4 linked regions of the Drosophila melanogaster genome follow. The protein of the gene in region 1 purifies or fractionates together with the protein of each later gene. This does not show direct contact. Each region holds a gene or a part of one and is shown on either strand. Other genes may lie near its edges. The genes, in order: Prp8, CG6674, CG14641 and Wdr92.

What was found.
Region 2: the proteins of Prp8 (region 1) and CG6674 purify together in Drosophila melanogaster (affinity purification with mass spectrometry, with the first as the bait; one large-scale study listed by BioGRID). This does not show direct contact.
Region 3: the proteins of Prp8 (region 1) and CG14641 purify together in Drosophila melanogaster (affinity purification with mass spectrometry, with the first as the bait; one large-scale study listed by BioGRID). This does not show direct contact.
Region 4: the proteins of Prp8 (region 1) and Wdr92 purify together in Drosophila melanogaster (affinity purification with mass spectrometry, with the first as the bait; one large-scale study listed by BioGRID). This does not show direct contact.

Annotation. Positions count from the first base shown.
Region 1 is NT_033778.4:12,159,174-12,166,023, reverse strand, and holds the start of Prp8 (pre-mRNA processing factor 8), read left to right. Parts: upstream 1-3,025; 5' UTR 3,026-3,139; intron 3,140-3,312; 5' UTR 3,313-3,330; coding exon 3,331-3,944; intron 3,945-4,000; coding exon 4,001-4,216; intron 4,217-4,276; coding exon 4,277-4,489; intron 4,490-4,551; coding exon 4,552-4,677; intron 4,678-4,720; exon of another isoform or gene 4,721-4,898; intron 4,899-4,957; coding exon 4,958-5,377; intron 5,378-5,435; coding exon 5,436-5,653; intron 5,654-5,710; coding exon 5,711-6,762; intron 6,763-6,824; coding exon 6,825-6,850. Other genes in the region: CG34232 (uncharacterized protein), read left to right, coding at 513-902; CG13177 (uncharacterized protein), read right to left, coding at 1,837-2,040, 2,103-2,162, 2,224-2,232.
Region 2 is NT_037436.4:9,969,736-9,974,909, forward strand, and holds CG6674 (uncharacterized protein), read right to left. Parts: upstream 2,320-5,174; 5' UTR 2,238-2,319; coding exon 1,929-2,237; intron 1,868-1,928; coding exon 1,475-1,867; 3' UTR 1,416-1,474; downstream 1-1,415. Other genes in the region: Dronc (death regulator Nedd2-like caspase), read left to right, coding at 109-1,014; CG42455 (uncharacterized protein), read left to right, coding at 3,188-3,266, 3,359-3,516; vnc (variable nurse cells), read left to right, coding at 3,541-4,131.
Region 3 is NT_033777.3:4,229,382-4,235,271, forward strand, and holds CG14641 (uncharacterized protein), read right to left. Parts: upstream 2,962-5,890; 5' UTR 2,862-2,961; coding exon 1,605-2,861; 3' UTR 1,398-1,604; downstream 1-1,397. Other genes in the region: abs (abstrakt), read left to right, coding at 3,748-5,607.
Region 4 is NT_037436.4:17,905,909-17,911,507, reverse strand, and holds Wdr92 (WD repeat domain 92), read right to left. Parts: upstream 3,366-5,599; 5' UTR 3,255-3,365; coding exon 2,980-3,254; intron 2,924-2,979; coding exon 2,071-2,923; 3' UTR 1,825-2,070; downstream 1-1,824. Other genes in the region: CG5290 (uncharacterized protein), read left to right, coding at 1-239, 301-1,759.

The sequences.
Region 1 (6,850 bases):
GTTGACTACTCTTTCCGATTAAATTGTAAAGTTTTGGGTAATATTTTTGAAAAGAACTGTGAGGTTTGAGTACTTTCCCAGCTAATCTTGGCCCGAAAATCATTCAACAGCTGTTCACTCCACTGTGCGTCTGTCTGTCTGCCCATTAAATGAACGATAAAACATGCCGAATATATTTACATATATACCCCATCTATGTGATATGGTGGCCAGGGGCTGTGGGCTGTGGGCACTCGCATGAGGAGATAACGATATAAACGGCGGCGGAAGAGTCTCCGAAAAACAGTCGAGACTGGAGCGTCGCCGGGTTTACACGATCCGAGAGCTTTGCATCGCAGAAACAGAAGAAGAAGAAGGCATTGAAGTCCATATCCTATACCGAAGCTATCATGTTGAAGGCGGTGAGTGTGTGGTTCCAAGGGGCGGACCTAATCTAATCGCCGGTTCAGATATGAAAGTGGCTTCAATTTAATTTACTATCAATACCCATCGATTCACCTTGATTACTCCGGATGTTTGGCCCGCTGCAGATTATCGTTTTTGCCACTATCTTGGTGGCCGTGGCCATGGCCATGCAGCCACTGGAGGACAATGAGCGAACCCATCATCTGAACCACAAGCGCCAGTTGTCGCAACAGCACCACCACCACCACCAAAAGCTCCAGGAGGTGAGGCATTCGGGCCATGATAGTCTGAAACATGGTGGTTCCCACGTTAAGGAGCATCAAGCGCATCACTCTGAGCGAAAGGCCAGGCAGAGCCACAAGGAGCCGGGCCACAAGAAGAGTCACCACCAGAAGGAGCACCGCCAGCAGCAGGACAACCACACCCGCAAATCCCGATCGCATTCCAAGGGCAGCAAGCAGCATCACAAGCGGCACACGGGATCGCGTCGCCACTAGGATAATCCTGTATCCTGTGGCCAGGATATATTCTATTTAAACTCTAGCCAATGGATTCCTTATGCGAGGATTAAACTCCGAATACAGTAAACACTCGTATAATTGCATGTATGGCAACAGTAAAGCCAATCTATTTAAATGTTTACAAAACTACTGTGAAATATAAGCCATGACCAAATAAACACACATTTCATAAATGATATTAATATCCACAAGCAGCTTCAACTTTTAATAATTTGGAACACTTGATGTAGGAAATGCATTTAACTTGGATTTTAAGTTGAAAAACAGGTAGTATTTCAGAGAATTATGAGTTTTAAATAGTTTATGGCCGCAATAACTAACTTCTATAGTATGGTTTTCTTTTGAAATTTTACAAAGAGTTATATACTATATAAACTTCTGGCTGATATCCATTGTATAGACCAGCTTTCTTGTGACCCCGTTTATGGCCTGAAATTTGGCCATGTGGATCGTTAAAGATAGGTCCAACTAAAGGTTCAGATGTGTGTAATTACTCGACTTGGCCAACTCGGAATTTTGCTGGCCGGCTTATGTATGTTACGTTAGCCGCCTCAATTTCTTTGGAAGTTCAAAAAACAAAAAAGAAATCCGGTTTTGGACAATTGAAATTTGAAAATAATAAACCACACATGCGAGCGTAGTCGTACGTAAAGTGTTTTTTGTTTTTGTTTTGTTTTTATTGCAATAAAGCCGGTGTTAATTGTGCTCTGGGGTCAAAAACTGCCGCTGACGTCATCAACTCGTCGTTGCAAGACAGTGAAAGGGTTAAAATTTCAAAACTGGGGGGCTTGCTTGTATAACTTCTTTGGTCACTAGTGCGATTACATAGGATTTTGTGGATTAAGGAACGTATGTCCATATGTCTGAAACTTCTTGCTTAAGGAACGTTTTTCGGTCTGGCATCATAGTATTATCCCCAAACTGGGTAAATTCGGGGACGATAGAATCCGCCTCCGTAGGAGCGATATCCGCCGTAGCCGCCGTAACCGGAATATCCGCCGTACTTGTAGCCACCTCCATAGCCGCCGTAGTAAATTGGCGATGGAGCTGCATAGTAGCCGTAGCCAATGGAGTCCGCGGTGGAGAGATCAGCCTCCTCAGCGGGTTTCTTGTCCTGCCAAGCGAATGGATTTTGTTGGTTGGTTTTGAAATGGAAAAACTAAAGATATGACCTACCTCTATAGGAGCTGCGCTGATGAATCCGATAATAGCCAGGCACAAAAGGATGGAAAATAACTGAAAATGTTCACAACATTTACTCATTATGATAGAAACACTTTTTGTTTGTGTGTAATACCTTTGCCATTGTTGCTTTTATTTGCGAAATTTAACGGGGATGCACTCTAGATTTTATGTTTTTCTCTCAAATTAGCAACTTTTCCCGATCGTGTTCTGGCCAGAAGCGTTGTTGTCCGTAAACTGTGATCCCCAGCGACCTGCCGACAATATTTATAGTGGCCCAAAACGTCCCGGGGATCGATTTTGCACATGATCATTGATTGGACAAACATTCGGGAGTCTGGGGATGTCGTTACCCGATGCGAAATGAGGTGTTTCATTATCACAGATGACTCGATGGGATCTTCCAATTCGGTTATTTGAATTTCTAAGCTACAGTGAGCATTAGTTAATGGCCAAAGAAAAAGTTATTTAGTGTTTTATTTATTCGGTTTGTTGTTAGCTAAAGTCGACTGTGTGTTCTTATTTTTACCAGTCATCAACAATAATATTGACGCACTACACTAATTAAGTTCCTAATTATTAATATTAACACATTTGTTGACGAGCTGATTCATTGATTTAATTACAAGGATTTAGCCTTAATTAAAAATGCTAATGTCTCGATATTTTTTACTACTACAATACAAAGTAATTTAAGTGAATAAGGCTAATTAGTTTTAGTCGTCGCAGTTTTGGTGAATTTGTAATATATTCCCCAATAACACCGTTATTTAAATTTTCAAATTTGCTCGCACTTTGTGTGGTTATCTTGACTGCTTTTTACCACTAGACTGTTTAGCAATTCACCTAATCTCTCGATAGACGATAGATGTCTTATCGATTGAGTGATGTGACCGTTCTACTATTCTATAAATGGCTGCCGCATGAAAAAGTAAACCTCTCGTTTTGCGAACCGGAAAAATTGTGAATTGCGGCCAAAGAAAGGCAGAAAAAGTGCCAAATAGGCAGTACAGTTGCAAATTAACTGCCAGGTAAGATATTCAAACCAAGATTAGCTGGGGGAAAAGCGAAATTTACGCTTTTTCACAGCGTGGTGAAAATTGCAAAAGACCGCGACGTCGGCGGCGGCATTTCGATTTCTCCCCCTGAAACAAAACGTGTCTGTGTGTCGTAAAGTGTATGTTTTTCGTCGTTTATTGATTAGGATAAGTGCCGCGGAACGATGTCCATTCCGCCGTACATGATACCACAAAATGCGTGGGCAGCCCAGCTGATGGCCCAGCAGGCCTACGCGGCTGCCCATGCTCAGCAGGCTCAACTGCACGCCCAGCAGCAGATGGCCAACCAAATTCAGCAGATTCCGCCACCGGGGGCTCCGCTGCCGCCGGCCGGTGGCCATACCAACGGTATACCCATCCCGGTGGGAGGTCAGGGACCCGGATTGGGCCAGATTCCCACGCCCAAGCCGGACATACTCACCGAGGAGAAGCTGCAGGAGAAGGCGCTTAAATGGCAGCATCTGCAGTCCAAGCGATTCGCTGAGAAGCGCAAGTTTGGCTTCGTGGATACCCAGAAGGAGGATATGCCGCCGGAGCACATCAGGAAGATCATTCGCGATCACGGAGATATGACGTCGCGCAAGTATCGTCATGACAAGCGAGTATATCTCGGCGCCCTGAAGTACATGCCACATGCTGTGCTCAAGCTGCTAGAGAACATGCCAATGCCATGGGAGCAGATCCGGGATGTCCAGGTGCTGTACCACATCACTGGAGCCATTACCTTTGTCAATGAGATTCCCTGGGTTATTGAGCCCGTCTACATAGCACAATGGGGGTAAGTTGACTTTAACTTGTCCTCGTGGACACAACTGACGTTAAACACTTCCGCAGTACAATGTGGATCATGATGCGGCGTGAGAAACGCGATCGTCGCCACTTTAAGCGCATGAGATTCCCGCCATTTGACGATGAAGAGCCGCCTCTAGACTATGCCGACAACGTGCTGGACGTGGAGCCCTTGGAGGCCATTCAAATTGAGCTGGACAATGACGAAGACAATGCTGTATACAAATGGTTTTATGACCATCGTCCTCTAGTGGATACACAGTGAGTTTTGATTTGTCATTTATATCTGATCTTGTTTTGATTCATTTATTACCATCTAAGGTTTGTGAACGGCACTACCTACCGAAAGTGGAATCTTTCCCTGCCTCAGCTAGCCACGCTGTATCGATTGGCCAATCAATTGCTCACCGATCTAGTCGACAATAACTTCTTTTATTTGTTTGACCCAAAAAGTTTCTTCACCGCCAAGGCTCTTAATATGGCCATTCCAGGAGGACCTAAGTTTGAACCCCTCATTAAGGACCACAATGTTGGGTAAGACAATGCATACCCTAAATACTTGTTAAAATGTAATTCCTGCTTTTATTTAATTTTAGGGACGAGGATTGGAACGAGTTCAATGACATTAACAAAGTCATTATCCGGCAGCCAATTCGCACGGAATACCGCATTGCCTTTCCTTACTTGTACAACAATATGCCACACTTTGTGCATTTGAGCTGGTAAGAGTCCACATTCTTCAAAAATTACCATTCTAAAATCTTATTTACGTGGTTAGAAACGTTTCCAAGTGATCAGCCTCTCTGGAAATGCTTCATGCCGCGTTAGAAAAACGACGAGCTCCCAGGTTACTGCCAAATTTGCGATAAAACGGGAGCTGCAATGAATATGTTCGTGGCGATTGTTAAGAATTAATCGTGACTGCTGATAGTTGCATACATATAAACTCATTTGTAGCTTAGAGGATCCACATGACCACATGATGTACTTTGTCTATTTCAGGTATCACACTCCCAACGTGGTCTACATCAAGACCGAAGATCCCGATCTGCCTGCATTTTACTTTGATCCGCTCATCAATCCCATATCCCATCGCAATGCAAACTCGAAGATTCAGGAGCCCCTACCTGATGACGACGAGGACTTTACTCTTCCGGACGACGTGCAGCCGTTCCTGCAGGACACTCCCCTGTACACTGACAACACTGCAAACGGAATCGCCTTGCTGTGGGCACCCCGCCCCTTTAACATGCGCTCTGGTCGCTCCCGTCGTGCCATCGATGTGCCGCTGGTCAAGTGCTGGTACAAGGAGCATTGTCCACCTGGCCATCCGGTTAAGGTGCGCGTTAGCTACCAGAAACTGCTCAAATACTATGTGCTCAATGCCCTAAAACACCGCAAACCAAAGCCACAAAAGAAACGGTGAGTTTTATTTAAATCAAACTATAGAAACGTTTTGAATTGTATCCTTACTTTGCAGCTACCTCTTCCGTTCGTTTAAGGCCACAAAATTCTTCCAGACCACAACTCTGGATTGGGTTGAGGCTGGACTGCAAGTTTGTCGTCAGGGATATAACATGTTGAATCTATTGATTCACCGAAAAAATCTTAACTACTTGCATTTAGATTACAATTTCAACTTGAAGCCCGTTAAAACTCTGACCACCAAGGAGCGTAAGAAGTCGCGATTCGGAAATGGTAAGCAGTTAAATTTCTAAAAATTTCCCTTTTATCAATTCCTTTCATTCCTATTAGCTTTCCATTTGTGCCGTGAGATCCTGCGTCTGACCAAGCTAATCATTGACTCTCATGTTCAGTATCGGCTAAACAATGTGGACGCCTTTCAGTTGGCTGACGGACTGCAGTACATATTCGCCCATGTTGGCCAGCTGACTGGCATGTATCGCTATAAATACAAGCTGATGAGGCAGATTCGAATGTGTAAGGATCTGAAACATTTGATATACTATCGCTTCAACACGGGGCCCGTGGGCAAGGGACCCGGATGTGGCTTTTGGGCACCTGGATGGCGAGTCTGGCTGTTCTTTATGCGCGGCATCACTCCGCTACTGGAACGCTGGCTGGGCAATCTATTGTCGCGTCAGTTCGAGGGTCGTCACTCCAAGGGTGTGGCCAAGACGGTGACTAAGCAGCGTGTTGAGTCCCACTTTGATCTGGAGTTGCGTGCCTCCGTGATGCACGATATTGTGGACATGATGCCCGAGGGCATCAAGCAGAACAAAGCTCGTACCATTTTGCAGCATTTATCGGAGGCATGGCGTTGCTGGAAAGCGAACATTCCGTGGAAGGTGCCTGGTCTACCCATTCCCATTGAGAATATGATCCTGCGTTACGTGAAAATGAAAGCCGACTGGTGGACAAACACGGCTCACTATAATCGGGAACGTATACGACGTGGAGCAACCGTCGATAAGACGGTGTGCAAGAAGAATCTGGGGCGACTAACGCGACTCTATCTGAAGGCGGAGCAGGAGAGGCAGCACAACTACTTAAAGGACGGTCCGTACATATCACCGGAGGAGGCTGTGGCTATTTACACAACCACGGTCCATTGGCTGGAATCACGTCGCTTTGCGCCCATTCCCTTCCCACCACTTTCATACAAACACGATACCAAGCTGCTAATATTGGCCCTTGAGAGGCTAAAAGAGGCGTATAGCGTTAAGTCCAGGCTGAATCAAAGTCAGCGTGAGGAGCTGGGCCTCATCGAACAGGCCTACGATAATCCTCACGAGGCGTTGTCCCGCATCAAGCGTCATCTGCTCACGCAGCGAGCCTTCAAGGAGGTTAGTTATCACTATTTCTATCTGTATTTGAAATAACTTTAAGACTTGTATTACTATCTTAGGTGGGCATTGAGTTCATGGACTTGTA
Region 2 (5,174 bases), on another chromosome or scaffold:
TGATTACTTCTTTGTCTGCCACATTAACCGTGCAATGAAAATATAATATATATATTGAAAATCTTATCTTTATTGTAATTTGTTCTTTCTTTCTCTCTCCTACCAAAGCTCCGGAATGAGCCGCTGGGAGCACTCACCCCTTATGTGGGTGTCGTTGACGGTCCCGAGGTAAAAAAATCGAAAAAGATACATGGTGGGGATAGTGCCATATTGGGCACATATAAGATGCAATCACGTTTCAACCGAGGCGTTTTGCTAATGGTTAACATAATGGACTATCCGGATCAAAACCGTCGACGGATCGGAGCCGAAAAGGACAGCAAGTCGTTGATACACTTGTTTCAAGAACTGAATTTTACGATTTTCCCCTATGGGAACGTGAATCAGGATCAGTTCTTTAAACTTCTGACAATGGTGACCTCCTCGTCGTATGTGCAGAATACCGAGTGTTTCGTAATGGTACTGATGACACACGGCAACAGTGTGGAGGGAAAAGAGAAGGTGGAGTTTTGCGATGGATCTGTGGTCGATATGCAGAAGATCAAGGACCATTTCCAGACGGCCAAATGTCCTTATTTGGTGAACAAGCCGAAGGTGCTTATGTTTCCCTTTTGCCGCGGCGATGAATATGATTTGGGCCATCCAAAGAATCAAGGCAATCTCATGGAGCCAGTGTATACGGCGCAAGAGGAGAAGTGGCCTGACACCCAGACGGAGGGCATACCCAGCCCGAGCACCAATGTGCCAAGTCTTGCCGACACTCTGGTCTGCTATGCTAATACGCCGGGCTATGTTACCCACCGCGATCTCGACACGGGCAGCTGGTACATCCAGAAGTTTTGCCAAGTGATGGCCGATCATGCCCACGACACAGACCTTGAGGATATCCTAAAGAAGACGAGCGAAGCCGTGGGTAATAAGCGCACCAAGAAGGGTTCCATGCAGACAGGTGCCTATGATAATCTTGGCTTTAATAAGAAACTCTACTTCAATCCCGGGTTTTTCAACGAATAGTTGCCGCCACTGGACATTTTATCATTCCGGATGCATTTTTAACCGCATTTATGTTCTTATCGTCGCATTTAGTATGTCTTTTAGATTATGTGTTCTGTGCTCGCGTGCTATAAAATGTTTATATTGTAACAAATACTCATTCAAGTATTCTTCTAATACGTATTGCATACCTCATTTAAAGGTACGAAATTATGTAATTTATGTGATAACTGCCAGAAATCTACAAATATTATAATACAGAGTTCCAGTATATACACAGCCAGATTTTTGAAATCGAACATTTAGGCAAAATGTAAAGCAATTTTCCAGTCTGATTTTTGAGTGTGTACACTTACAAAATAAACGATGATATTTCACAACAAACCGCAGTTTGTATATAATTAAAATCTATTTACATTTCTAAAATTTCATTGGGACACTAATTATTATATAATATAATCTTAGGATCATACATTTTAACCTAATCATCCTGCTCATCCTCCTCCGCCAAGTGGGACAGTTGTAGTTTTCCCGCTGCACGGCTCTGTTCCGATTTGGTTTTGCATTTCTTTGGCTTATGCGGCTTTTGGCCAATTACATACTCAGGCATCACCAGCTTGGAACCTCTTAACTGCGGCTTATCCAGCTCCACATCATCCACCTCCTGCTGTTTGAGGCTCTTGAGCTTGCGGCTGAGTTTGCTGGTCCTCTTGAACTCGATCTTGCCATCTGTAGGTGGAGATTCGTTATCGACGCCCTCAGCCTCGCGCTGTGCATCCATTTGTCGCAGGAAGGACAAGGCGGCGGCGGAGTTGCTCTGTTCGGAAATGTCCACATCAGACAGGGAGTACTTCTTCCATTTGTGCGGGTTTACCTAGAGAGTAGGTCAAACGTTTAGGGTGGGGACAACTAATTGCAGAGGGATGGTCTGTCACCTGGTAATCTGGCGTTTTTCTTGGCTTCAAACAGCGTCCAATGGGGAGTTCGGGCTTCTTGAAAATGCTCTCCTTGCCGCGCATTCGTCGCAGTCTTCCATCCTCCGCATCGAGGCCAGTAACAATGCTGCGACCCTGGCGGTAGTTCATCACCTGTCCGGATTCGTTTCCGGATTTGTTTCCTCGATCGAGGGCATTGATGGAAAACGCCTTGGCCTTGCTCTGATCCAAGGCAGTTCCCCGCAACTCTTTGCTCGCATCGTCGAGACATGCGAAAAGAGCGTCTCGTTTGGCTGAAAATTCCTGCATTTTACTTAGTTAAACTGCACAAATGGCATTTGCTTAAATGCGTTGTGTTTGCAGAGGTAACTTTGTTTGCTGCAAATCAGCTGTTTTCACAGTTACCGTTTTGTATTTTCATCTAGTATTTTAGTAACGTGCAGTATTTTTAGACTATTAAGGCAGCTATTAAACCATTTCCTTTTCTATGGATTAGTCTATACTATGTGAGTTAACTGACATCATAGGGTTAAAATACTTTTTAAACGTAAATTAACAGATTTGAATTTATCCCATTCTATTTCAATATAGTAGCAGTATGATTGGTATTCTCTGCAAACTAAGATATCTTGGAATTTCGGCCCACGCAAACTCTGGTCAGACTGGTGCCGGTGTATAAACTTAGTGTGGAAGAAGTGTGCTCATTCGCGAATATAAATAAATTAAACAGCCAGGTGGATATTGAATAAAACTAACCCAAAGGCGTGACCATGTGTATAGTGTGCCTGTCTCAAAGGACGATTCATCGAACAGCTTCTATTGAAAGGCCTTTCAGACAGCTTAGTGGAACTTCTAACCCCATGTGGTTTTTGGTGGCAACTAAAGTCACTTGTGCCAGGGTCTTTTAAATAAATGTTAAAACTAGAAAAGCAGAAGTTTTAGATTGCCAGAAGAATATAAATATATTTGATTGCAATATTTTTATTTGTGCTTTTGTTAATTTTTGCAAATATCCCACTTATTACCACAAAAAGAGCACAAGAAATTGTATCCCTGGTTTCATTCAGTGTTGAATAACGGCCACACCCAGAGGACAGCTGTTCTTTATTGTGATAGCAATCCAAATAGGGAGAAAAAACATTTAATTCGCTGCTGGAAACTAAAATTAAACCCTTTGACAAGTAGTTTTAATTATTATTTTCAAATTTCATTTATAGTTTAATGCTTATAGTTTCCTGATTTCGTACTACCCCGTTAGAATGTCCCTGCAAACGGGCTTGGCTTTCATTTTCACCATATTAGCCTCTGTTAGTATCGTCGCAGCAATTATTTTGTTGGGTAAGCAGGCGCCCGCAGACGATCACGTTATAATGGAAACAATTTTCTACGATCCGAGCAACAAGTCATATTGAAATTTGTCTATTTTGCAGGCTGGTTCCTCATCTGGAAGGCGTTTCTATCGAAATTTCGTCTGGTTCGAGAGCTGTTGGGTCAGGAGGAGCCGGAGGATCAGCAACCACTTGCTTGGGATCATCAGAATCAACAGCCACACCACCACGGCAGAGCCAGGAAAGCTCGCCGAGACTAGGAAGCACATCTACACAGCCTCACCATGAACATCCGCTGCGCAAAACCGGAAGACCTAATGACCATGCAGCACTGCAATCTGCTGTGTCTACCCGAAAACTACCAGATGAAGTACTACTTTTACCACGGACTAACCTGGCCTCAGCTTAGCTACGTGGCCGTTGACGACAAGGGCGCCATTGTGGGCTATGTCCTGGCCAAGATGGAGGAGCCGGAGCCCAATGAGGAGAGCCGCCATGGGCACATCACCTCGCTAGCGGTCAAGCGTTCCTATCGGCGATTGGGCCTGGCCCAGAAGCTCATGAATCAGGCCTCCCAGGCCATGGTCGAGTGCTTCAATGCCCAGTACGTGTCCCTGCACGTGAGGAAGAGCAATCGGGCTGCCCTGAACCTCTACACCAACGCCCTCAAGTTCAAGATCATCGAGGTGGAGCCCAAGTACTATGCCGATGGCGAGGATGCATATGCCATGCGACGCGACCTCAGCGAGTTTGCCGATGAGGATCAGGCCAAGGCTGCGAAGCAGTCAGGCGAGGAGGAGGAGAAGGCGGTCCACAGATCCGGCGGACATGGCCACTCGCACAACCACAGCGGTCACGATGGCCATTGTTGCTGAACACTTTCGCTGCCGGCGCTTGCTGGCTTCGACGTTTTTTGCATTTTTGTGCATTAGGGTTTTGTAATTATTTAACAATAAAAAACGTAACTAAAATTAAAACAAAAGTAATGACAAAAAGATAATGTTTTTAACAATAAAGGGTTTGAAGGCCATTAAATCAGTAATAATAATACTATTTACGGTTTCTGTTTCTAATTGCCAATCTAAAATGCATAAATGCATTAAACACCTATTAAGACGAATTTTTTGATTTTATTTTGAGTAGAGTTTTAGAAGAGAGTGGTTTTCTAAACTCCCCAAATAATTTATAATATCTACCATTCTTTTGTGCTAGAGCTCTGGTTAACCCAAGTAATGCGAAAATTTATGCCAAATGTGGGTTAAAAAATGTGCGCTTTTTGTAATGTGAAAAGTTTGTTGGCCCGAAAAGTTGGCCAAGCGGAAAGATGTCTTTATGTGCGAAGTGTTGACTTTCGCGCCAACTTTTGGGTGCCATCAAGTTGTAGGTGTCGTGTTGGTGGAGAAACTTTTATGGCATATGAAAATAGCTAGCAACCGTTCCCACTAAACCGATTTTCCAGTAACGGAGCTTTCTAATTTCCCAGTTTCCCGCGGCGAGCTCCTTTTGCGCATGCTCAGTGGAACATCTGCGGCAACAGCTGTTCGCTAGCCACGTGGAGTACGGTACTTTTCCGGATGGCGCCAAAGAGAGAGAGCGAAAGTACCGCAATCACAGCTGAGCTGAGATGCTGGCTTTTCGCGTATTTCGCCGTTCTTAAACTCAGTTCGTGAGGCGCTGGCTGAGCAAAAACAACATGTATGCGGATGTTTTATCAGTTTTCGGCTAGCTACGTAAAACGTGCGCAAAACCCAAATCGGAACTTCAGCTATTGTAGTGAAAAGTGCTAATAAAACCCTAACGGTAAAACCACTCTTTACAACGGGAGAAGAGGAAGAACGAAGGAAGTAGTGCTACTGCTACTGATGGGTTATAAAAAACTAACGGGAAATGACTGGCATTTATTATGATTGTGGAAAAA
Region 3 (5,890 bases), on another chromosome or scaffold:
ATAAGCGATCGCTTGCACACGTGTGATTTATCGGTAAAAACTACAAAACAAGCAATAATTAACTTCAAAATAGCTGTTGCAAAACCATTAATTGTAAAATTGTATATTGGAATGAATATTGAAAAAACATAGAATACATTAATCATATGTTTAGCTAAGACAAAACCCCCTTTCTGGAAGTAAAGAAGAGTAAGAGTGACGGGTAAAAGAAATATAGCCATTATATAATTTACAGTTAGTCTAAGATTTCATTAGAATAAACATATTTGCACTGCTCGCACCTGTACATATGTAACCTTTACCTACCCTGTAGTCCCACAATTCATCGCTATTAAAAAATATTACATCATCTCTCTCTTAAAATTTTAAAGCGATGCTAATGTTCTTAATCATAACGAGGAATAAGCGATGATTTTGAAAACAAATTCATCGCTTTTTAATTTCTAACCGAAGGTCTCAGTATGCGATTTTTTATTTAATTGCAAATTTAAATTTAAATTTTAAATTTGTAATGTACATAGAACATGTTTGCAGATCACTTGCCTATAGACTTTTGTGAGAAGTAGACGCGATTTTGAGTGCTTGTTTTAAAAAAAAATTGTAAATATTTTGGAATTTAATTCAATAATAATTACAGGTAATGGATTTATTTTACAATAAGCAACAAACACTACTCACAGAAACGATAATTTAAGGTAAATTGGTTTAACTCGTTTTTGTATACATAATTATACATTATTTTACCTTAAGGTAAATCGGACATGTGAACTGAAAAGAAGCTGGTCCTAACTCCGTAGGACAGGACGCCAAAGACTCTGGAATTTCACATACATATATATGTATTTGTATTCTTAAATTTAAATCCTATGCATAATTTAAATAAGTCTAATTAAGAAAATACATTTTTATTAATAAATGACTGAAATTTCACTTTTTCATTAAAATTGATAGAGGATTAAGTGAATAAAAAGAGGTGTAGAGAGATGAATTGAGCTATCATTTATAGCGCTTATGCGTGATTTTGATTTTGCGCTATGCGATGATTTCCTAGAACATAGGTTCAGGTCATGGTTTTTTTTTTTAATACAAATTAACCTGTGATTAATTTGATCGAGATTTTTAATGATCAGTAATGAGCTGATGAAATCTGAATGAATGGAATGCAGGGAGGTAGTCATAATCCCAATGTTAAGTTCCCCTATAAATACTGAAGAATGAACTTACATATGTACATGTGCATTGGTGTACTTTTTTTAATCCCAAATATCGTCCAAATCAAAGAAAAGCATTTATTAAAGGTAAAAACGAGTGACGAACGCACATCAACATACATATGTACAAAAGTTTTGATATAAGCTTTTGTGACGAAAATTTGTTCTTTTTTTCTTTTTTTTTTTAGAGTTTAAATCATTTATTATTATCTTCTCCTCTCTAATTGTTTGGTGTTTTTTCTTAACAATTCGAATCGAAAACAATTTCGTCCATACGGATAAATTCTATTAATATTAAGTCATTTTTATGGAACTGACCACTTTAAAAAGTTTGTATTTAATTTTATAAAAATGATTTATTGAATTGGAACCATTGTAGACCACAGGGTTTTCCTACTTTTTAACAGCTCCCATCCGACTGGCGTCCTGACTTGGATACGGTACTTGACCCGGTGGCGGAGGAATCGATATGGAATCCAAATTGACACCCGAGGAAGAAAGGGCTGTGGAAGTGGCGTTTCCGTAGGGAGCTGCATAAGTAGGCTGACCATACATTTGGTAAGCCGACGCCGGAACTAGATTTGATGGCAACTGATGCAGCTTCATGCCGGCGGGCATGACATTGATTTGCTCTTGGCGAAGATTGAAGTAGTCGTTGGGCTTCGCGCTAGGCGGTGGAATGCCGGCCAAGTCGAAGCGTCTGTCTGTCTTTGCAGCGGTGCCCTGCTTTGCCTGAGAGTGAGCCCACTTAATGCTCACCTTCCGGCCCTGGATCACCAGTTTATTAAAGGTCCGCTCAGCAGCCAGCTCGGCAGCGTTTCTTTTGGTGTATTGCACAAAAGCGCACTGCTGGCGTGGCACCAGCGCAATTGATCGAATTTCGCCGAACTGGTAGAACTGATCTCGCAGCTCGGGTTCCGTGATTTCTTCAGGAAGGTTCCCCACATAGAGAGTTGTGATGTTGCGGTCCTCCGGCGGCTCGAGTGTGGGAAGCGAGGCTGCACGCTTCATGATCTTCTCGGCCACAGGATCGTTGCGTCCGTAGTACCTGTCCTTGATGTTTTGCTCACATAGCGGATCGTCCGGCTCGTTGGGCTTGTCGTGGCGGTATGGGCACTCCTCTCCACGCTTGCACTCGCCCTTAACCCAAAAGGAGCAGATGTGCGGCCGATTTCTTTTGTAATAGGGTGCTGTGCGCGCAAGCTTGGACAACATCTCGTTGGCGGCGAGGGATCGACCGACAGCTCCTGCCGCCTCCGTGCCATCTCCGTCCTGCAGCTGGGCGTCTATGTTTTGGATGTAGTATTCCTTGTTAACGTCGCTTTGTGGCATATTGTCAGCCACTTTGAGCGCCGCATCTCGTACTTGAATCGGCAGTCCGTACTCCAGGTCCAAGAGGCAGGTCTGACACACGTTCTTCAGGCGCGCACACGTTTGACATATCTCCGTCTTTTTGAAGCGCATACGAGCACCAGGACACCATCGAAATATTGTGAATGGACGCGTGCATATCTTGCATTCCTTGCCGAACCGCTCTTTAATCATCCGCACGTACGGATTGTCGCCAAGGCAAGTTTGGCACAGAATTGGGAATTCAGCATCTTCCCAGTTCTGCCGGTTATAGGTGTTAGTCGTTTTTGACATAGACATAGCAGCGGCACTTATGTACCTTGCACTTAAAATCCGAGCTAAATTTAGACAATGCTCATTCGCTTTCTACTTGTCGAAAATGGTGGTGTGTCGCGAGTGATATACCAATATCGATAAGTTGAGCCAGAAGCAGACAGTTAGTTCAAAGTCAGCAATCGATATAATTTATTGAATTTAATAGCATATTCACACTGCTTAGAATATATATCTATACCCAAATGCACACAAAAATATATTGCATTCGACTGATCCGAAACCGATCAATACGATATTCTACTATTCTGTACTATTCATGTTCGCTAACCGTTTAACAGAAATGTTCCTGAAACACTTTTGATAGCACGCATAAGTTCATATAAAATGTTTCTGGGCGATTTACACAGAGTTTTTGGCACTTTTAATTCCGATGTTCGCAGTTACGTATTCACTGCGCTCTGACCACTTATGTTATTCAATTAATTATCATTATTTACGAACAGCACTTTTGGCCCTGCTTTAAATATATTTACTAAGTATTTTTACCTGCCTGTTATATTTCACCAACAGTATGGCAACCTTCGCGCTAAAAGTTGCATTTTTCACGTTGCTTGGTTTTCACAAAAAAAGAAAGACTCAATCTCAAACTCAGAAAACCAGAGCACCTAAAAACGAAATCGAAAGATTTTGCCCAAATTGAAAAAAAAACTATTATCCGGTCTGCATGCCATGAATATATCATAAGCAAGAAGCTGTCAGTGGAATCACTGTTTAATAACTGTAATCGATACCCATTAGAATATAGTATTTTTCGGGCTCGCCTAATTTAAAACGTCGTACGGTGGCCTTTGTTGTAGTCAAATTAGGCGAAAACGAAACAAACAAAAATCAGAAATATAGATCGAATGCTATGGCGCACGTAAAGCGGTATCGGAGGTCGTCTAAGTCCTCGGAGGAAGGCGACCTGGACAACGAGGACTACGTGCCATACGTACCGGTGAAGGAGCGGAAGAAGCAGCACATGATAAAGCTGGGCAGGATCGTGCAACTGGTTTCGGAAACGGCCCAGCCCAAGTCGTCAAGCGAGAATGAGAATGAAGACGACTCGCAGGGTGCGCACGATGTCGAGACCTGGGGACGCAAGTACAACATTAGTCTGCTGGACCAGCACACAGAACTGAAGAAAATTGCCGAGGCCAAAAAGTTGAGTGCCGTCGAAAAGCAGCTGCGAGAGGAGGAAAAGATTATGGAGAGCATTGCTCAGCAGAAGGCCCTTATGGGTGTGGCAGAGTTGGCGAAGGGGATTCAGTACGAGCAGCCTATTAAAACAGCTTGGAAACCGCCGCGTTACATTCGGGAAATGTCGGAGGAAGAGCGCGAGGCCGTTCGCCACGAGTTGAGGATCCTAGTGGAGGGAGAAACCCCCAGCCCGCCAATTCGCAGCTTCCGGGAAATGAAGTTCCCTAAAGGTATACTTAACGGCTTAGCGGCCAAAGGCATTAAGAACCCGACCCCAATCCAAGTGCAAGGCCTGCCCACTGTACTAGCCGGCCGCGACCTAATTGGAATAGCCTTCACTGGGTCTGGAAAAACGCTTGTCTTCGTGCTGCCAGTCATCATGTTTGCCCTGGAACAGGAGTATAGTCTGCCTTTTGAGCGTAACGAGGGCCCCTACGGCCTGATCATTTGCCCGTCCCGCGAACTGGCCAAGCAAACACACGAGATAATTCAACACTACAGCAAGCACCTCCAGGCATGCGGAATGCCTGAGATTCGTTCCTGCCTGGCCATGGGTGGTTTGCCGGTCAGCGAGGCCCTTGACGTCATCTCACGCGGCGTACATATTGTGGTGGCGACCCCTGGTCGTCTAATGGATATGCTGGACAAGAAGATCCTTACGCTGGACATGTGCCGGTACTTGTGCATGGACGAGGCTGACCGCATGATTGACATGGGATTTGAAGAGGACGTTCGTACGATATTCTCTTTCTTCAAAGGCCAGCGACAGACACTTTTATTCTCTGCCACCATGCCAAAAAAGATCCAGAACTTTGCTCGATCAGCTCTCGTGAAGCCTGTCACAATAAATGTGGGTCGCGCAGGTGCTGCGTCAATGAACGTCACCCAACAGGTTGAGTACGTTAAGCAAGAGGCAAAGGTGGTATATTTGCTGGACTGCCTACAGAAGACCGCGCCGCCCGTGCTCATTTTTGCTGAGAAGAAGCAGGATGTAGACTGCATACATGAGTATCTGCTGTTGAAAGGCGTGGAGGCGGTGGCTATTCACGGCGGAAAGGATCAGGAAGAACGATCGCGGGCAGTCGATGCTTACCGCGTGGGCAAAAAAGATGTGCTGGTGGCCACCGACGTGGCATCGAAGGGCCTGGACTTCCCTAACGTGCAACACGTTATTAACTACGACATGCCGGACGATATTGAAAACTATGTGCATCGTATTGGCCGCACAGGTCGTTCCAACACTAAGGGATTGGCTACGACGCTGATAAACAAGACTACCGAGCAGTCGGTTCTGCTCGACCTGAAGCACCTGCTAATCGAGGGCAAGCAAGAGGTCCCGGACTTCTTGGACGAACTGGCACCTGAGACCGAACACCAGCACCTGGACCTGGGTGACTCGCATGGCTGCACCTACTGTGGTGGTCTGGGCCATCGCATCACGGAGTGCCCAAAACTTGAGGCTGTTCAGAACAAGCAAGCTTCAAACATAGGACGTCGCGACTACCTATCTAACACCGCTGCGGATTACTAAACCACTACCACCACCAAATTAAAATAGTAATAAATAGATTAGTATACATACATACTTTTCTGGGAACTTTTAAATTTATTTTCACTCTGTTTTAAGTTCAGTTTGCTGCTTATCGCACGAAGCTTTGCTTATCAATCGTCCCAGCAACCCCAGAGAGCGATCTCGGCCGGACGCGCGCGCGTTTCGGGCTTAAGAAAAATATTATAAAAGCGAAGACGAGCTTTGGCTTTCGTTTAGTGTCTGAGGCAGAGCTCTGCATGCTTGTCGTTCGAAGCGCTTTTAT
Region 4 (5,599 bases), on another chromosome or scaffold:
CTAGGAGTACGCACCAAATTCCAGCAGAAGGCCCTGCCACAACTCTGCCTCAAAGTTGAGCATCTAAACGAGCAGCAGCCTCTGCCTCCAGCCGTCCAAACAAATGAGACGACCAAATTGCCAAAACTGCTTCTTCTGGAGGATGACACGCGACTGGAGCGGATACGCTTTGTGGAACTGAAGGACAACGAAGTGATGACGCTTCCCAGTGTTCTCCAAGCTCTGGTGCTGGCCAAAGTGTAAGAATGGCTAATGGTGCATAATATTTTTCTGATATACTAAAATCTTTCCTTTACACAGAAAGCAATTGAAACGCTCAACGCCTAAGGATCGCCTGGCGGATGAACAACTGGAGCCGTATACACAAACCCTACTTTACCAGGAACACGGACCATTCCAAGTCCGGCAGTCAGCCCTTCTTCTAAACTGCCTTCAGGAATCGAATCAAAGAAGGACAGTCGAACGCAGCTGGAAACAATGCGAGGAGTGTGTCAAACTGCTTGACACCTCCGAGGAGGAGCTATCGCTGCGATCCCGACTCTCCTACGGTTTCGCCGCCCACTTGAGTCCCAAGTGGCAGGTGCAGCTACAGCTTGTCGACTTGCTGCGATCCTTGGGCATGACCAAAACAGCTCTGGACATCTGTCTTCGCATACACGCCTGGCAGCAGGTGATCGAGTGCTACACGAGTCTGGAACTCCGTCACAAGGCAGCGGAGATCATCAGGCAGGAACTGGAGAAGAAGCCAACGGCATTGCTGTACTGCCTCCTTGGCGATGCTATCGATGATCCTTCGTTCTATGAGCAGGCTTGGTTGTATTCCAAAAAGACAAGTGGAAAAGCTCAAGCCTATTGGGGCAACCATTTCTATAGGAGTGCGGATTATGCCCAGGCAATGGATCACTTCGAGATTTCGCTAGAGATTAACAACTTGCAGGAAGCGATTCTTTTGCGCTGTGGCTACTGTGCAATCCAACTGGAACGCTGGGAGCCGGCTGTTAAATATTATTTGGCTTACACCCACCTGGAACCCAATGGATTCGAATCCTGGAATAACCTAGCCAAGGCCCTGATTAAATTGGGTGACAAACAGCGGGCCCATCGTGTTCTTGGTGAGGCCTTGAAGTGCAACTACAGCAACTGGAAGGTTTGGGAGAACTACATGCTGGTGTCCGTGGATACTTCCCACTGGGACGACGCCATGCGGGCTTACCAGCGCATGGCGGAGCTAAAGCAGCACTACCTCGATCAGGAAGTGCTAACCCGTATTGTTTACGGAGTTTCCAAGGAGGACCCCGCCGGCTCAAGTGCTCTGATCAAAAGACTCATAAAGCTTCTGGGACAGCAGAGCATTCAACATGGTAACGAGCCTCTTGTGTGGGAACTGGCCGCCTTGGTGGCCCAAACGCCACTGAAGAAGGCCGAGAAACTGGTAAAATCGTATCGTGCGTACACACCGAAGCATTTGGGCTGGGAAACCAAGTCGGAGCACGCTTTAAAAGCCCTAGATCTTTGTTTAGAGGTCTGCGATCTCTCAGTGGCGGCCATCACAGAGCACATTCAAGAGGAAAGTGAGGTAATGATTACCTCTCAACTAAATTCAGCCAGACTGGCGGGAACATCTTGTCTGAATGCTTTGAAGAGAGCCATAAATGTGGATGTATCGGCAGAACAGACTGCAAAAGTGGAGCAGCTGGAAAAACGCATCGAAGACCTGACAAAAATTGTCCAGGAACGAATGAATGCGTCTCGATCTTAGTTATACACTATATAAGGTTTTATACTATTTTGTAATTGCAAAACAAATAAAAAGAGTCATTTTTTATTGTACATGAAATAGTTTATTGCTGATATATATTTGTAAGCTAGTTTTGATTTGTAATATAATTCAGCTCAAGCAGATTATCCAGTTTTTCTGATTTTAAAAGCTATTGCGCATTAAGGATTTATTGTCTAGCAATAGGTGCAATGAAAGTGTATTCATAAAAATATAAACCTATGAATTAACCCATCATCCAATATCACAAGTATGAAGCATTTCTTTAATGGGTTTCTTTTGATGTCCACCATCTAAAAAGTGTTTAGTTTGGTGGTAATTAAAACGCGCACGCTTTGATCGAATGCTCCACAGACGGCTAGGCCCAGTTTGTCTGGATGCCAGTCAAAGCAGTGAACCGGCTGAGAGCTCAAAGTGGCTGCACTAAGCATATTAAGGGCTCCAGCAACTCCCAACTTGTTTCCATCAGAGTCATCAATGACCCTCCTGTCGGGATACTCGTACTGCCACAGGCGAATGGAACCAGTTCCGCCGCCCGTGAGAAAGAGATCCCGATTCTGGGGCAGATGACGAACTACCCAAACGGTGGCTTTGGGTCCGCTGATCACGCCATTTGTTCCCACGCTGCGTCCGGCGTTGCGTTCCTCCACGTAACTAAATCCCTTGGTCGGATGTTGGGTTCTCATATCGAAGACAAGGAGACCGCCCTCCAAAGTGGTGACCGCTAGCTTGTTCATGGGAATGTCCCGGCGATCGAACTCCAGTCCACAGATACCATTCTTCATGGTGGCCTCCCAGCGTACGGAAAGGGATCGCAAATCGAATATCTTTAGATCTCCATTATCATAGCCGGCGGCAACGATGCGCTCCTCAGCGTTGTAGGTATTTCCAAAGGCCACGGCCCAGCAGTCCCGGCGGCCACTGCTGTTGTTAACGCCATCGCCCATTTGCGGCGGCGGCGACATGTCCACCACAGGAGCCTGCCCCTGGCGGATATCCCAGACTTTAACGGCGCCGTCACGACTTCCAGTAACGATTTCCGGAGCACCGCAATCGATTTGTGTGCCGCCAATCGCGTCGATGGTGTTGATGATGCCGTTGTGGGCCTTTACATTGTAGACCGGAAGGTCCGGCTGCTCCATATCCCTGCAAAGAACACATGTCAGAGAAGCATCTAATGACTTAAGCGGGATTATGCTTACAGAACTTGCAGCCTGCCCTCGAAATCTCCGATGGCCATGTGGCGGTTCCTGAGCGAAGCTGCTCCGAAGGTGCCGCATTTGAAGGCAACCTTCTTCTCTACGGACTTCACTTTCACCAGCTTATCCTGGTTGAGTTCGTAGATGTCCATGATTCCGTGCCCGTTGGCCTTGGAGCCCAGAATCACAAACTTGGCCGAAAGGGGCACCCATTTCGTATCGTACACCGTGTAGTTGAGTGCCTCGTGGAGGTGCTCAATAAGCTGGGGCTTGTCCATTTCAACGATCTATATTTCCGTCTCAACTTTATGCTAATATTCCAAAAGCGGCCGGTGAAAACTTAAGGATTTATCAAAAACAAGTTGTTTTGTTGTCATGGCTATCTCTTCCTCTTTTTCAGTGTAGCCGTACATGCAGCGCCTGAAATATACCAATCAGCTGACGGAAATATACCAAATCTAATTTTTAAATAGATAAATTATAACATATCCACTAAAATGCAATATTTAAAAAAATAATAACGCTTAACGTTTGTAAAAAGTATATCCCATTACTATAGTTCACATTTTGTACTCATATAATCAAATAATTTAAAATTTACGAAATAATGTGTGTGTACGATAGTTATGCCGATACATTAGAAGGCATCGGGAACAGCTGTTAATGGTGGTAAGCTTAAAAAGCTTTCGCCACTCTGTGAGTTGAATACTTTTTTCTTCAGTTTTACTGGGTCAGTCGGACGCTGTTTTGCTTCTGTCGCGGATTTTCCACATATTTAGTTTTTGGCGCGAGCATCTTTTTTTGGCGTTCGACCCCCCAATAGCAACAACAACAGCAACAGCAGCAACAACTTCATATATAACGACAAAGAAACACTTTTACGTGTGTCGCAAGCGACGCTTTTCTGCATTAAAAAAAAAACGATGAGATATTAAACGTGCGGGGTTAAATAAGCGAAAATAAATATTATTGAAATAACAAAGCGCAGCTTATAGCGTTGGCTATTAATTTGCGGGCCTTTTAGCCGGTTTTATATAAGTGATAATCGTTTTGGCAGAACAAAAACTCGCTAAAGAGTGCTCAAAGTTTAGCATATTTGCGATGCATGCGCCAGAAAAGTGTTAATCAATTTTTTATTGGCAACAAGTGATACAACAATAACAAAGGCGCTATCAAAAGTTGAAGGTGCCAACAAATCGACGGCAGTATAGACGACTACAAGAACAACAACTACAGCAACAGCTGTACTCGTTGGCAACCGAATTGAGTGCCAACTAAAAATTAATGTAGTTTCTCAAAGGTAAAAGCCACAAAGATTCTTCCATTCTCGGCATGTTTTCACATTCATTTGTATTGCCCAACATTTCCTTACTTCCGCCGTTGCCTTTCGATTTATCGTCAATTTTGGGGACAATCACGTTAATTGTGTACTTTTCAGCTTTTTCATTGGCTTTATTGTTTCTGTGTGCCCTCTCTGTTGTTTTCGGTGCACTTGCACTTGACACACACTCATAGTGTATAATATTTAGTATATAAGCGTTATAGTACATCATGTATATAGTACATATGTTTATGTCATTCTTCCGTTTTGGCGACTTTTTGCCAACCTGTCGCATCGCCCGTTCGGAATACCCTATACTTATTGGGATTTGTTGATAAGCCCACCACGCTGGGGAGAACAAATAGTGAATGGAAACTAATTGGTTTTTTGGTCTGAAAAAAAAAAAAAAGTAAATATTATGCAACACGTAAAGTGCACAATTATAAAGGCAATTATTTCTACAAAAATTCCCCTTAACAGTCGACTTGGTCTTTTTGTAAAAATTATTGGTTATGAATACAGAACCAGATTTAAATAAATCTATAATTATATTTTCTTTCTGACAAATATAAAATTCTAGCTTTATACTTTCCCACAACGAAGCGAATAAAACTTGTGAATTACTTATCAATCAATCGGTAATTTACACAGATTATTTTTATACATTATCACTTATACGTGAACTGTAAAGATTGCCAATAGTCGTTGCCTTGGGCTCAAGATTAAAACCCTCCACTTTCACACCTGTTTCTAATTTGGGATTAAAGTTTTCGCAGCTAATAGCACGCAATAGCTGCAATAATAATCTATAGTAATAAATAGGGAAACTGAGGGATTAATGATAGCACTCATATTGTGCCGGGAAATATTTCATATCACGCGCCTATATTTAACTTGCATATGAGGAAGTATACGCGCACATACAGAAACTTATATGTATGTGATTGAAATGTAGAATATTTAATATTTATTTTCACAACTAATGTGTTTTAAAAATCTCTATATTTTAAATAAAACCTTTCTCGAAATAAGCATTACAGCATCGAGTTCTCACATCATTGTTGATCAATCAACGATGTTCCAATTGATTTCATTTGGTTTGTTTCCACTGCGTTGTCCGAAGTTCGTGCGTGCGCACAGTAGGGAAAATTGAAAATGTTGCAGCCCCAATTTTTCCCCTACTTCCCCCCTCCCTCCGCCACACAGAAATAAATAAATGCCGCACAATCGAAATCTAAACAAAGACATATAAAAAATCTGCCAACTGCCGCACCAGCACTTCTACAGAAGCTAAACAAGGCA